Regions from separate parts of the Mus musculus genome. Here region 1 is reported to be linked to region 2. Evidence: microRNA targets listed by miRTarBase, many of them from high-throughput screens and not tested one by one. Region 2 holds a microRNA gene; the other region holds the end of a gene's coding sequence.
The links. Region 2 holds the annotated microRNA mmu-miR-1906 (UGCAGCAGCCUGAGGCAGGGCU, at 4,746-4,767, shown strand). A microRNA usually pairs through its seed, bases 2 to 8, with sites in the 3' UTR of a target mRNA and lowers its output. Matches are read on the target gene's strand: a 7mer-m8 pairs with bases 2 to 8, a 7mer-A1 pairs with bases 2 to 7 and ends in A, and an 8mer does both.

Region 1 (7,513 bases), not on the chromosome of region 2:
CCTGACAAATACAGAAGTGGATGCTCACAGCCATCCATTGGACTGAGCACAGGGTCCCCAATGGAGAAGCTAGAGAAGGGACCCAAGGAGCTGAAGGGGTTTACAGTGCCATAGGAGGAACAACAATATGAACCAACCAGTACCCCCAGAGCTCCCAGGAACTAAATCACCAACCAAAGTATACACATGGAGGGATTCAAGGCTCCAGCTGCATATGTAGCAGAGGATGGTCCTGTGGGACATGAATGAGAGGAGAGGCCCTTGGTCTTGTGAAGGCTCTATGCCCCAGTGTAGGGGAATGCCAGGACAAGGAAGCAGGAGTAGGTGGGTTAGTGAGCAGGGGGAGGGGGGATGGGATGGGGGGTTTTCGGAAGTGAAATGAGGAAAGGGGATAAAATTTGAAATGGAAATAAAGAAAATATCTAATTAGAGAGAGAGAGAGAGAGAGAGAGAGAAGAAAGCTCAAAGGCCACTCCTACTGACATTCCTTCTCTAATAAAGCCACACCCCTAATCCTTCCCAAACAGTTCCACCAACTAGAAACCACGTATTCAAATATATGAGCCTCTGGGGGCCATTCTCAGGTCGACCACCAGAGTGCTAATGAGTCTGCTGAGCTCTCTGATAAAGCGTAATCTTTACAAGGCAGGAAAGGATATGACAGATCTGAGGACTTTAGGCTGGCATATGGATTGTGCTTGTGACATACTGCAGATAAAAGAGCAAGGAGGAAAAGGGTCTGTCCAGGGTCACTCGGAGGCAAATGTGGCAAGGCTCATGTGGAACCAGCCTGAGTCCTTAGAGTCAAAGTTCTCAGAAAGCAAACGCTGTGCCAATGGTGCTCTAGACTCCCGCGTGTGTCCCATGCGTGTCCAGCCTGCAGACTGCAGGCCACATGTGACCAAAGGCAGTTATGAATGTGGCCCAACACAAATGTGAGAACTTACTTAAACATTGTGTTTTTACTATATAAAACCCCCCCAGTTGTATGATCCTGGAGCATGAATTTTGTAGGTGATTATGTGTAGGACATTCCTTGTAAGCTCAACGCCTGAGCAACACTTCACCGAAGACAGGAAGAATAACACCGTGCAGGTGAAGGAGGATGCGATTGTCTTAGGCTGCACACTTATCCCCTCAGAATATGTGTACCTTTCTTCCCTAAAAGAAAATGCATTGGAGATAGAGACTGTTGATCTAGCCTGGGCTCTGTTTAGCAGCCATGATGGAAAGGCCAGGGCCACAGTGCTGGCCTGGAGCCTGTTAGAACCAGGGAGCTGCCTCCAGCCACAGCATAGCAGGCTAGGGTGCTCTCCTCTGGGCCTGAGGCCATCATGGACAGGGAGATGTGCAGAAGCAGCACCCCAGGATACTTCACACAGGACAGCTAACAGACAACGATTGTAGTTTATGGAAAGATAGCTGGATGTGGTTTTGTCTCCTATCCATTGCTGCTGTATCCAACATTTTTTCAAGTTTTTTGTTTGTTTGTTTGTTTTTTAAAGCATGTGTATGAATGTTCTGCCTCCTCTCACCTGTCTAGCTCCTTGTCAGGACTCAGTACCTAACTCCCCAGTGGCTTTCTGTAGCCTGACTCCTAGCCCCCACCTCACCCCATCATCCCCTCGAACACCATGCTGCTTCTTTGCTTGGGGGCCATCTTTATCTCCCCCTTAGACTGTGAGGTCTGGCAAAGCTGGGCCAGGACTCAGTCATTTCAGGATAGTGCTGTAGGTATGGTCACGAGAGGACAGGGAGCTTAGGAGAACTTAGGGGTCGGTCCTCAGCTCTGGGAGGACCTCATCCCTACTTGAGCTACTTGAGCTCTTCCCTTGCAGTTTCCTCTGGGTGTCCCAGTTTGCAGAGGACATTCTATCTGTCCCGCTCCTCTACAGGCCTTTGCAGAGCTGATGTGTCTGACCTACGAGGCTGTTGTAGGTATAGGCACCGGCCCAGCCCTCCAGAGACCCACAGCCTGCTGGATCCATGAGGCTAAGGGCAGATAGGACCCAATACAAGTGCTCAGAATAGGGTCCTTGGTGCCGGGAGATACATGCTCAGAACTGATAGCTCAGAGCAGGAAGACACTGGTGGGTGGTTATGGGGTGTCTAGATGAAGGCTGATCTCATTAATCATGAGAGGGTGAAGTGAGGGAGGGAAGGCACTGTTAGAATGAGAGAAGCCACGAAGCTTAGGAGCTGAGACAAAAGGGCTTCTTCCAAAATGGAAAGTGGTGCTGAAACTTGGACCCTAGAGGCTGGGAGAGGGACGGTCCTTAGTCAGTCACTGGCTACCTGGTCAAGCTCCTTGTGCCCAGAGGGGAAAGTGACTTACCCAAGGTGACTGTGTATAAACAAGGAAGCCTGAACCCCAACCCAGGCTTCCCGACCAGTGCCCAAGCTTGTGCCTCTCCCGGAAGCTGCTTTTAGCAACCACAACAACTGAACGCTTTGGCAGCTGAGTCAGTCAGTGGCCAGGCAGGTGCTTAGAGCCTGCAGCCTGGAGACGCCATTCCTATCCTGTCTCCAGCCTCAGGGTGGGCAGACAACGTGTGTCTCATATTCGCTCTTCTGATCACAAGAAATTGTCTCTTCCCCTCCCCTCCTCCTCCTGCTGAGTTCCTCAAGGTCTTACAACAAACTGTAAATGTCCCCACCCAGGACAGAGACATCAGTCTGACACTGCCCTAGAGTCTGGTGTGGTGTGGTATATGGGTGGCTGATGCTGCTAAGTGAATCCTGTACTGGTCCTGACATAGTCCCCTTCCTGTCCCTAACTGCTAACCTGCTACCAGCCCCAGCAGAGCTCAGCTTAACTCTGCCTCATTTGCTCTGCAGCAACCAGCACTGCTCCCTGGTGGCCAACTGCATTCAGCCCCAGAGCCAGGTCTTGGGTTTACCCTGACTGACTCTGGTCACCTTGAACATCTAAGGCTTCAGCATCAGGGCTTATAGGAGTCTTTGAAGATCCTGGGGACAGAGTGTCTTCCAGATCGGGTCTCTACATCTCTGTGGTTGGGGTTCGAATGTGGACGTTTGTGTGTGTGTGTGTGTGTGTGTGTGTACAGAGAGGCACTCCCAGGTTTGATGTCTGTGGATCTGGGGACAGACCAGGGAGGATGATGGATAGAGCACTTTACACACAGCTGAAGGACAGAATGACAAACTTTTATTAGAAATGTTCCTTGCTTGTAGGTCACATTCACATTACAGTGTAGGCTGCACTGTCTGGCTCTGTATCCTACTCTGTGATGATTTCCAGTTAAAACTGAGTCTGGGTGGAGGGTATCTTGGAACACACAAAAGATGCCAAATGGTGGCGCTGGCGGCAGCAGCAGCAGCAGCAGCAACATTCTGTGAGAGGATAGGTCTCAGGTCCTGCAGAGACTGTTATACCCACCTTTGCAGTCCCAAGGCCACACCGCGGGGCCCCAGCTGATAAATAAACGGTGCATCACACACATATTGGAAACGAGAAACAAACTGGAAGTCTCCTACAGTGAAAAAATAATTTGCTCAAAGAAAGCTTTGTGACAGCCAGGCTTCACCCTGAATGATGGCTGCCAGAGCCCTGGATACTCAGGGTGTCTCAGACTTGGTGTCACGAGGGCCCCATCTTCCTTAGCACCTTTGGGAGAAAGCCACCTTCACCACACTCCTCTTTCAAAAAAAAAAAATGCAAACACTACTTACAATGATCATACCCAAGAAGAAACTCTGTCCCCAGGGCAAGTCATCAGATTCATGTCCCTGAATAAAGTGGGGAGGGGAATGGCCAAAGAACTTTATCCATGACGGAAGAGGGCAGGAGGGGATGAGGAAACCGGCTCAGAGAGGTAAGGCCAGGTGCTTTTGCCCTGCTGTGGGACCCTGGACTCATCTCTCAAAGTGGTACCAAGTCTTAAAATGGAGGACAGTCTCTCTGCCCTGGCCAGGGGCAGGCGTGGAGGAGACCATCAAGGGCTGGCTTCTGTCATTCATTATTCAGAACCCATTTTCTCTCCACTGGCCAATTTTCCTGGGTCTGTCTGCAGTGGGGAACTAACTGGATGCCGTCTCCTGCCCAATGTTTTATTCATTCTCTTGAGGAAGATAATGGTCTCTACACTCTGGTTCACGAGGTGGCCTCCTGGTCCTGGTCGGTGGCAGCAATGGCAACAGGCATTCCTTTTCCAAGTCACTGATGTGTCCTGACGCTCTGGAGCTGTGTGACCACAGATGACAGCCGATCCTCAGCGCCGCTCACTGGTACTGCAGGTAGTTTTTCAGAGACTGAGGCAGGGGCAGGGAGCCGATGTCACGCAGGCGCTGTCGGCCCAGGGCTGAGCGGATGGATCGCCGGCACAGGTCCATCAGCGGCAGAGGCTCAGCTGCAAAGACAGTGAAGCAAGCGTGAGTGCCCACACCTCCTCACTCCGCCTAGCTTGCCTGCTGCCTACCCTTGCCCCTGAGCTGGCTCAGTGCTCCCTGCTACTGAAGAGCCATCCCTGCTTGCAGTAAGAGGCACTCAGCAATGATTATGAAAGGCAGCTGCAGCTGCTCAGACTATAACGTTTAGAACAACCGCTAAATAGTGGTATTTAAAGATGAATAGTGGAAACAAAGTTATCCACTGCCAGGGTAAGTTCTGATGTAGAATGTGTGGCTCAAAACGTTTAGGATGATTTATCTCAGGGTACTCAGGAGGCTGAGGCGGAAGGATCATTTGAGCCCAGAAGTTCAATACCAGCCTGGGCAACACAGCCAGATCCCGTCTCAAAACAAGCAAGCAGACAGGTTAGATTCCACCAGGCTATTGAGATTCTTTCAAACCCACACGCTTTCCCTCCAGTGTTTATGATGGGCAATGGAAGGACACATTTTCTTACAGCACTCAAGTTCTGGGGGACGGGGGAAGGGAGGTAAGTTAAAATCCACCAGGGACCTGGAAGGTGGCTCGAGGGATAAAAGTGCTCCCCACACAAGCCTGATAACCTGACAGTGAGCACCAGAAGCCACTTAAAAAATCCAGATGCAGCTGCGGGCATCTGTAAGCCCAGCACACCAGTGTAGAGATGGAAAACAGATGAGACTCTGACTCAACATGGTAGGAGCGAACCCATTCCCCAAAGTGGCCCTCTGACCTCCATACGCCCACTGTGGTGCGCTGGCACCTCTCGATACAGGACAGTTTACTGAGTTACACCAGCTCACTGCAGATACACATATTAATTCTTTCCTCTTTCATTTCCTGTGGTAATCCTAGGGATACAGAGACAACTCAGCCAGGGCCAGAGCCAGCCCTGGAGGTGAGCTTGTGGTCTGGGATTTCCTTATGACCTAAGATTTTTAAGTGAATGAATGGTTTTGTTTTTGTTTTTAATTTTGCATGCATGGTGCTCTGCTTGCATGTATATCTGTGTATCATTTGTTAGCCTTGTGCCCAAAGAGGCCAGAAGAGGGTGTCGGATCCCCTGAAACAGAAGTTACATACAGGTGGTTAGGAGCCACCATGTTGGTTCTGGGAGTTGAACCCCTAGTCCTTTGGAAGAGCAGCCTCTTAGCCTCTGAGCCATCTCTCCAGCCCCAGCAAGTGAATTATTTTAAAAGTGTTAATATAGGAAAGAATTCTGAGCGCAAAGGGACAGAAACTAGGCAGCTTCCTGAAAGCTTCGAGGAGAGAAACCTGAATAGGGTTTTGAAGTATGGGTAGGAGTGTTATAGGCACACTGAGGCTGGGCAGTGTTACAAGTAGAGAAAACAGACAGGGATCAGGGATCAGGGAGACAGGGAAGCTGAGGGCAGGGACAGGGCTGGTAGCTGAAACAGACCAGTGGAGAAAGAAGATGACAGTGGTCCTATTCACCTGTGACTGACATATGGCCTCGATGTTTTGCGCTACAGCTAAGCATCCTTTCTTTTCTTTTCTTTTCTTTTCTTTTCTTTTCTTTTCTTTTCTTTTCTTTTCTTTCTTTTTTTTTTATTTTTCAAGACAGGGTTTCTCTGTATAATCCTGGATGTCCTGGAACTCACTCTGTAGATCAGATTGGCCTCGAACTCAGAAATCCACCTGCCTCTGCCTTCCCAAGTGCTGGGATTAAAGGCGTGTGCCACCACTGCCTGGTTCTAAGCATTCTTTTGGCAACAGAGTACGTAGGATTGTGGTCAAATTATAAGGAGCAAACACAAATGGTCCGCTGTGTGGGAATGGTATCAGGAGGGAGGGGCGAGCAATGGCAGCTGGGGTTCGAGGGAACTTCTTCGAGAGGTGCAGTTCTAATGGGCCACCACCGGAATCCAAGTGGGACTCTCATGAGGGCCAGATAATACATCCAAGGCCACATCTTGCTGTCCTTTGCTGAGGCCAGACCGCAGGCTAGTAGCTTCACTTTCTCCTCTTATCTTTTGATTCTCATACAAAAGGAGGCTACCCAGGGAATGCCAGCCGTGTATCCCAACCTGCCCTGCCCGGCGCGCGCGCACACACACACACACACACACACACACACACACACACACACACACACACGTTCTTTTGGGGGGCTCAATTCATGCAAATGCATGTATCAAAAACTCATAACAACCCCCGGGGCCAATAAATATCATTATCATCTCTATTTTAAGGAGGAAAAGTCTGAAAGAGAGTACACAAGCCATCTACCTAAGGATGCACAGCTGGTAAGTAGAAAAACCAGGACTCAAACCCCTGGAACCAGAAGTGGGAATTTATCTTCTATCTCACCCATGTTTACTGAGCTTCTGCTTGGCCTGTTGCAAGGGTGAATGTATCTCACTGAGGTCTTAAAGTGACCATCTGAAGTCAGTGTGACTACTCATTCCTGGCTGAGAGAGAAGGAAGCTGAGGCTTGGAGAAGAGAGACTTGTGCAGAGTTGTAAAGCTTGCATTTAGACTGTCATACTGCCCCTCTCAAAGAACAATAATAAAAAGGTGGGCCCAAGGCCAGAGTGAAGGTGGAAAGGTGGAGCCACCTGTCTTCCAGACTCCTGGCAGACTGCGTGAGCCACAGCCTGAGACTCTTGTCTCTCCCTTCCCCCCTCCATGGCCACTTTCCAGGTCACAGCTGCCCACCTCCCTGACGATACTGTAACAGAGGCAATGGAAGCAGCCCTGTTGTTGCTCCTCACCAGTTGGGTGCCCAAATCAACTCTGTCTGTTCACAGAGGAGAAAACAAATCAGCTCTGGGCACGAAGGGGCCCCAGGTACACGTGAACCCAGGGCGAGCCTCTCATGCATAATTTTAAGTGAAAGAAAAGTGTGTCATGTGTGACTCCCCAAAACCCTGTAAGTTCAAAAGTAGCTGATGACATTCAGGGCATGGCTGGTGATGCTCAGGGCGTGTCGGGTCATATTCAGGATTTGGTGACTGGGGTGGCGGTAAAGGCAGAGGGGTTCCTTTTAGATTTGTGTTTGGCTTTGCTGGTCAGCTTGCCTTGATGCCGGCAGGCAGCAGCTTGTGACCTGGACACTTTCTTTACCTAATATTCTTCAAAAAAGTTACATCTGAAAAAAGG
Region 2 (7,513 bases):
CACATGATCATCTAGTTAGATGCGGAGAAAGCATTTGACAAAATCCAACACCCGTAATGATAAAAGTCTTGGAAAGATTAGGAATTCAAGGCCCATACCTAAATATGATTATAGCAATCTACAGCAAACCAGTAGCCAACATCAAAGGAAGTGGTGAGTAGCTGGAAGCAATCCCACTAAAATCAGGGACTACACAAGGCTGTCCACTCTCTCCCTACCTATTCAACATTGTACTTGAAGTCCTAGCCAGAGCAATTAGACAACAAAAGGAGATCAAAGGGATACAAATTGGAAAGGAAGAAGTCAAAATATCACTTTTTGTAGATGATATGATAGTATATATAAGTGACCCTAAAAATTCCACCAGAGAACTCCTAATCCTGATAAACAGCTTCAATGAAGTAGCTGGATATAAAATTAACTCAAACAAGTCAATGGCCTTTCTGTACACAAAGGATAAAAAGGCTGAGAAAGAAATTAGGGAAACAACACCCTTCTCAGTAGTCAAAAATAATATAAAATACCTTTGCGTGACTCTAACAAAGGAAGTGAAAGATCTGTATGATAAGAACTTCAAGTCTCTGAAGAAAGAAATTAAAGAAGATCTCAGAAGATGGAAAGACCTCCAATGCTCATGGATTGGCAGGATCAACATTGTAAAAATGGTTATCTTGCCAAAAGCATTCTACTGATTTAATGCATTCCCATCAAAATTCCCACTCAATTCTTCAACGAATTAGAAAGAGCAATCTGCAAATTCATCTGGAATAACAAAAAACCTAGGATATCAAAAACTCTTCTCAAGGATAAAAGAACCTCTGGTGGAATCACCATGCCTGACCTAAAGCTGTACTACAGAGCAATTGTGATAAAAACTGCAAGGTACTTATATAGTGACAGACAAGTAGACCAATGGAACAGAATTGAAGACCCAGAGATGAACCCACACACCTATGGTCTTTTGATCTTTGACAAGGGAGCTAAAAACATCCAGTGGTAAAAAGAGAACATTTTCAACAAATGGTGCTGGCACAACTGGCGGTTATCATGTAGAAGAATAAGAATTGATCCATTCCTATCTCCGTGTACTAAGGTCAAATCTAAGTGGATTAAGGAACTCCACTTAAAACCAGAGACAATGAAACTTATAGAGGAGAAAGTAGGGGAAAGCCTCGAAGATATGGGTACAGGGGAAAAGTTCCTGAATAGAAGAGCAATGGCTTGTGCAGTAAGATCGAGAATTGATAAATGGAACATCATTAAGTTGCAAAGTTTCTGCAAGGTAAAAGACACCGTCAACAAGACATAAAGACCAACAAAAGATTGGGAAAGGATCTTTAACTATCCTAAATCAGATAGGCGACTAATATCCAATATATATAAAGAACTCAAGAAGGTGGGCTCCAGAAAATCAAATAATCCCATTAAAAATTGGGGCTCAGAGCTGAACAAAAAATTCTCACCTGAGGAATATCGAATGGCAGAGAAGCACCTGAAAAAATGTTCAACATCCTTAATCATCAGGGAAATGCAAATCAAAACAACCCTGAGATTCCACCTCACACCAGTCAGAATGGCTAAGATCAAAAATTCAGGTGACAGCAGATGCTGGCGTGGATGTGGAGAAAGAGGAACACTCCTCCATTGTTGGTGGGATTGCAAGCTTATACAAGCACTCTGGAAATCAGTCTGGTGGTTCCTCAGATAATTGGACATAGTAATACCAGAGGATCCCGCAATACCTCTCTTGGGCATATATCCAGAAGATGTCCCAACTGGTAAGAAGGACACATCCTCCACTATGTTCATAGCAGCCTTATTTATAATAGCCAGAAGCTGGAAAGAACCCAGATGCCCCTCAACAGAGGAATGGATACAGAAAATATGGTACATCTACACAATGGAGTACTACTCAGCTATTAAAAAGAATGAATTTATGAAATTCCTAGGCAAATGGATGGACCTGGAGGGCATCATACTGAGTGTGGTAACCCAATCACAAAGGAACTCACACAATATGTACTCACTGATAAGTGGATATTAGCCCAGAAACTAGGATACCCAAGATATAAGATACATTTTGCTAAACGCATGAAACTCAAGAAGAACGAAGACCAAAGTGTGGACACTTTGCCCCTTCTTAGAATTGGGAACAAAACACACATGGAAGGAGTTACAGAGAAAATGTTTGGAGCTGTGACGAAAGGATGGACCATCTAGATACTGCCATATCTGGGGATCCATCCCATAATCAGCTTCCAAACGCTGACACCATTGCACACACTAGCAAGATTTTGCTGAAATAACACAGATATAGCTCTCTCCTGTGAGACTATGCAGGGGCCTAGCAAACACAGAAGTGGATGCTCACAGTCAGCTAGTGGATGGATCACAGCGCTCCCAATTGAGAAGCTAGGGAAAGTACCCAAGGAGCTAAAGGGATCTGCATCCCTAGAGTGGAACAACATTATGAACTAACCAGTATCCCTGAGCTCTTGACTCTAGCTGCATATGTATCAAAAGATGGCCTATTCGGCCATCAGTGGAAAGAGAGGCCCATTGAACTTGCAAACTTTATATGCCCCAGTACAGGGGAATGCCAGGGCCAAAAAGTGGGAGTGGGTGGGTAGGGGAGTGGGGGGGGGTATGGGGGACTTTTGGGATAGCATTGGAAATGTAAATGAGGAAAATACCTAATAAAAATTAAAAAAAAAAAAGAAAAATAAAAGAATAGAGGGGAAAAAATCTTGAAAAGAAAAAAAAAAAGAAAGAATAATAAATAGGTAGAGTACAAACGTGGGGGGGCGTTTAGGACATTAAGGTCAATTATTTTATCATAGAAAAAAGGTAAAGTCAAACTGGGAAGTGTTTGGTCTCTCCCCATGTGATTACATCCTGTGTGTAGAGGGAAGATCTTTAAAGTCTAAATGATAGGTGTGATAAAATGGAGCAAGAAGGATATTTAAAATAGTTGGGAAAATGTTCTCAAAGCGACTTAAGATATTTCTAATTCCAAATATTTATGAATCTAACAGAAGGAAATATAAGTTATGCCACACAGATAATACAGAAGACCATAAAGGATAATACTGAAAACAGTTACTTAAAAAAAACAAAAACAAAAACAAAAACAAAAACAAAAAATTAATAAGTCTGAGCTTTCTTTCTTACAGGAACAGAGCAATAAAGGAAAGAAAATAGAACTATTTAAAATTCTGAAGAATGATAACAAATACAGTTAAATTATGTATAAATACAGTAATTTAAAATAACTAAAATGATTTTCAGATATTTAGGAGAGGATGATTCTAGAGATTAGCAATAAAGCAAATATTAAATGTTTTTCTTCAGGAAAAAAATTATTCCATGAGGAAATACGACAATATGTAGGAATAACATATTTTGTCAAGCAACAAAATGAAATATTTAGAATGATTCTCAATGATATTATTTTAAAACTCTACACAAAATAAACAATCCAAAACTTATATGTAGCTCTGTATCCAGATTACCTGTTTCTTTTTGTCCCATGGTAAGCAACATTTCATAAACACTTAGAAAATTGACCTATTCACTACCACGAGAATATCCTGTTCAAGAGGAAAGAACACACCTCCCCGACTTGCAAAACACTTCACACATTCAGAGTGGTATTCACTCAAGGCCACACAGGAATAAGCATGTGCATATAAATAAATAAATAAATAAATAAATAAATAAATAAATAAAGTACCTTTTCCTGTTCTTGATTAAAACAGAGCATTATCTTGTCTTAAATGGAACAAATCATTTTCATATCAATATCATTCAAGTTGATTACATAGACACACTGGGATTCAAGTGCAAACAAAGAAAATAAAATGAGAGAACAACAAGAAAACATTGAATTCCTACTGGTGCAGTAGTTTTATGAACATTAGAAAAATAATCAAGACAGAAGACGAAGAGCTGGAATAGAGCTCGCCTCGGCTCTGCTGGCCTTGGCTGCAGCTCTTCCAGAAACCCGGGGCGCCCACAGAAGAATCTCTTACCTGGCTCTCTCTTCAGGGATGACATCATCGGCTCACACCAGTCTTCCAGGACCACCTTCTGGATGCCAAAGCTGCTGCTCGAGTACCTGCTGTGCACCTCTACCTCCTGGTACCCCAGCCACTCCCTCAAGTTGCCTGCATGTTATATGGCCTAGCCAAGGAGCACGGATTCCAGGAACCCACTACCATACAGAGCAACTCCTTGTGGACCCCCCTGGGATCAGGACAGCGAGGGACAAGCGACAAAGAGGATCATCAGTGGCCAGCTAGTTTCTCTGGGGTTCAAACCTTGAACCAGTGCCCTAGTGAGGGGGCACTGGCCATGGCCCTTGACCTTTGCTCTGCTTGTGTCTTGAGTCTGAGCCCTTTCCTGTACATCTGTGCTCGTGTTCATCTGCTAGTGAACTGGAGTGCTGCCCTCCCCGAGGAGGGTCGTCCCTTGTGACTGATCATGCTGTCCTAACAATGTCCTGAGCAAAAGGGTCCCTTTGGGAACCTCTCAGGAGGGGGACCCGGGTCAGGGGCGACCAGCATCTTGCTGGCAACTCCGTGGGTGGGGTGGGGTGGGGTGCTTCCTTCTGGAATGAGCACGTGGCTGACCCCCCAAGGCATGTCCCCTCCCCCTCCTCCACCCACCTTCTCGGAGATGTCCCTTTTGGGGTAGTGGGGACATTAGGAGCAACCTCCTAGGGTTGTTGTGAGAATTAAATGAACTGCAGCAGCCTGAGGCAGGGCTGGGCAGAGACCTCAAAAAAAAAAAAAAAAAAAAAAAGAAAAATAATCAAATATATATTCTATTTGATTTAAGGCCCACTCCATGATGCCAAGAGCATTTGACTAAGTAGATTATAGTGGTTAGAGGAAAATTCTTTTACTATTAATTTAATAAATGAGTACAGTAATAAAAAGAACCTTAATAATGTATTTCTATACCCATGGATCAGTGTAATGTTCAAATTTCATCAGAGAAACTTCTTAAAATAGATTGTTATTAACACGGAGACTTACAAATGGGTAACATAGATCAGACAGTGGGAGATTTTTGAGTGCTTAGCCCTTAGTGTGATATTCATATCTTTATCACACCTGAATGCATAGATCACTGAATGTTAGGGGAAACCCTAACATTCAGGAATCTATGCAGAAGATTTTAAGAGCTAGAGTTGTCAGGCAATGTTAAGTAAATAGTGTTTTCAGATATAACAGGGCAGATGCACATCATAAGTGATCTCACTGAGTTTGTGAGAGCATAAAGAAGCTCAGGCAGACAAAATCAAAGCATGGAGGAGAGAAGGGGGGCATAAAGCAATGCTCCTAAACAAAAAGTTATTTGCTACAGATAGCTGCTATGACAAAGAAAATCAGTTTTCTTCACTGGAGTGACACTGGGTATATCAACCACATTTGTGTACTGTATCCATGCTCAAAAGTAATTTGCCAAACCAAATTTGACTCCCTGTTTTGTGGTATTTTTTGTGGTAATTTTTTAAGAGACAGAGCATGAAATTGGGTTTGTAGGGAGAGTAAGAATATCTGGGAGGAATTTGAAGTTTTGAAATGTTATGACAAAAATATATTCTCTGTATTATTAAGGAACATTTAAAAGAAGAAGAAGAAGAAGAGGAAGAAGAAGAAGAAGAAGAAGAAGAAGAAGAAGAAGAAGAAGAAGAAGAAGAAGAAGAAGAAGAAGAAGAAGAAGAAGAAGAAAATAGTACAATGATGCACTCTCAAGTGGTGATTAAGGATACGACTATTTCATTGTGAGACTTATGAGAAATTATGGCTATTGCAAACTTTCACAGATTTTCCTTATAACTTATACATTTTAAATGAATAAAAGCACTTAGTATGTTTAAAATAATTTTAAAGGCTCGAATTCATAGTTTAGGAATAGCAATCTGCTATAATAAATGGAAAAGCTTTTGCAATCATATTAGAAATTAGTCATGTATATAGTTGAGGAATAATCCCAATACTCATCAAAATGGAATTATTTATCAATGTACTATAATCACTATGTGTCAAAATCTAAACATCTCACATTATTGGTCATTATCTCCCTGAGATTCATACACTTGTTATTTCAAGCAAACTATTTGACTTCTGCTTACTTGTTATTAAATGTTAGAATATAAATGGAGTAATTAAATGTAATCTTTTGTTTAAAAGGAGGAAAGGCTTAATACAAATGACAATTCATACCCAGGTTCAAACCTTATAAAACAGGGACTGTAAAAATGTCATAGCATATCATAGTGCTGAAAGCCATGACCTACGGATGTGTTTTCTTAGAGTATTTTCTTTTCTCTACTTTTTATGGTGGCACCTATCCCTGCCCTCTAGAAGGATCTTTTGTGCTTGTTTATATATGTATTCTTTATTTACATTTCAAATGTTATCCTCTTTCCTAGTTTTCCCTCTGAAAATCCCTTATCACCTCCCCCCCTTCCCCTGCTCCACAACTCATCCACTCCCTCTTCCTGGCCCTGGCATTCCTCTATACCAGGGCATAGAATCTTTAAAGGACCAAGGGCCTCTCCTCCCATTGATGACCAACTAGGCTATCCTCTGCTACATATGCAGCTAGAGACACGAAAAACAACATGAACTAACCAGTACTCCAAGAACTCTCTGGTACTAAACCACCAATCAAAGAAATCTTTTGTGCTTGTTATCATCTATGCAATATTTGAAGCTTATGAGCAAAAGTTTTCCACCTTTATTTTTCATGGCATAGCTTCAAATGGCTAGAGTTGCTTTAATGGTTACACATTCATATATTTTTTAGTATTGGCTTAAATATAGTTGGTGTATGGTTTTGTGAGTGTTTTTGTTATGACAAGTTTCCAATCTTATATTACTCAATTAGAGGGTTATGTTCTGAGAGATACAACTTCAAGTGATGTTGATTTTGTCATTATGTAAACAATATAGTGTCTTTATACGAACTAATATGACTGTACTGTCATTATACAATGCGATATTATGTAACATATGTAGTTGGTAGTTATGTAAAATATGTTTATGCAGTACAGGACTAAACCCTATTTTTTCCCAATTTGTTTCAGGCTTACTTTATATACAGAAAAATAATTATGCTTTTAAGATTCTGATCATTAATTTCCATGCCCTTATCTTGTAATCAAGGACCAAAATGTGGCTCTACAAGAGTAGCATGAGCTGTTAAGCACTGAGCCAATTCTCCAGCCTCAACTTATTCATTTTTTTAAACTTTTTATTAGATATTTTCTTTATTTACATTTCAAATGTTATCCCCTTTTCTTGTTTACTCTCCAAAAACTCCCATCATAATGTAAATGTTCAAGGATTTTCTTCCATGTCACCCAAGGATTAGTTCCATAAGATAACATTACTCCACCTTTGAGTTTACTATTAAAACTGTTGCTTCTGAGAAGAGAACATGAATCTTTTTAAAATGTAAACATTGTAAGCTATGGATAATTTGGAATAAATGCTCATAC

Region 1: the mRNA of Spsb4 is a reported target of mmu-miR-1906. Seed matches in the 3' UTR shown: 7mer-m8 at 3,341-3,347, 7mer-m8 at 3,338-3,344, 7mer-m8 at 3,335-3,341, 7mer-m8 at 3,332-3,338 and 7mer-m8 at 3,329-3,335.

The regions. Positions count from the first base shown.
Region 1 is chr9:96,940,335-96,947,847 of GRCm38, forward strand. It overlaps Spsb4 (splA/ryanodine receptor domain and SOCS box containing 4), which reads right to left. Exons shown (of 3, transcript NM_145134.3): 3 at 3,148-4,370. The coding sequence ends at 4,243. Among named protein-coding and RNA genes, the nearest start is that of Gm51657, 47 kb to the left of the region's middle.
Region 2 is chrX:88,756,739-88,764,251 of GRCm38, reverse strand. It overlaps Mir1906-2 (microRNA 1906-2), which reads left to right and starts at 4,699; the gene lies at 4,699-4,778.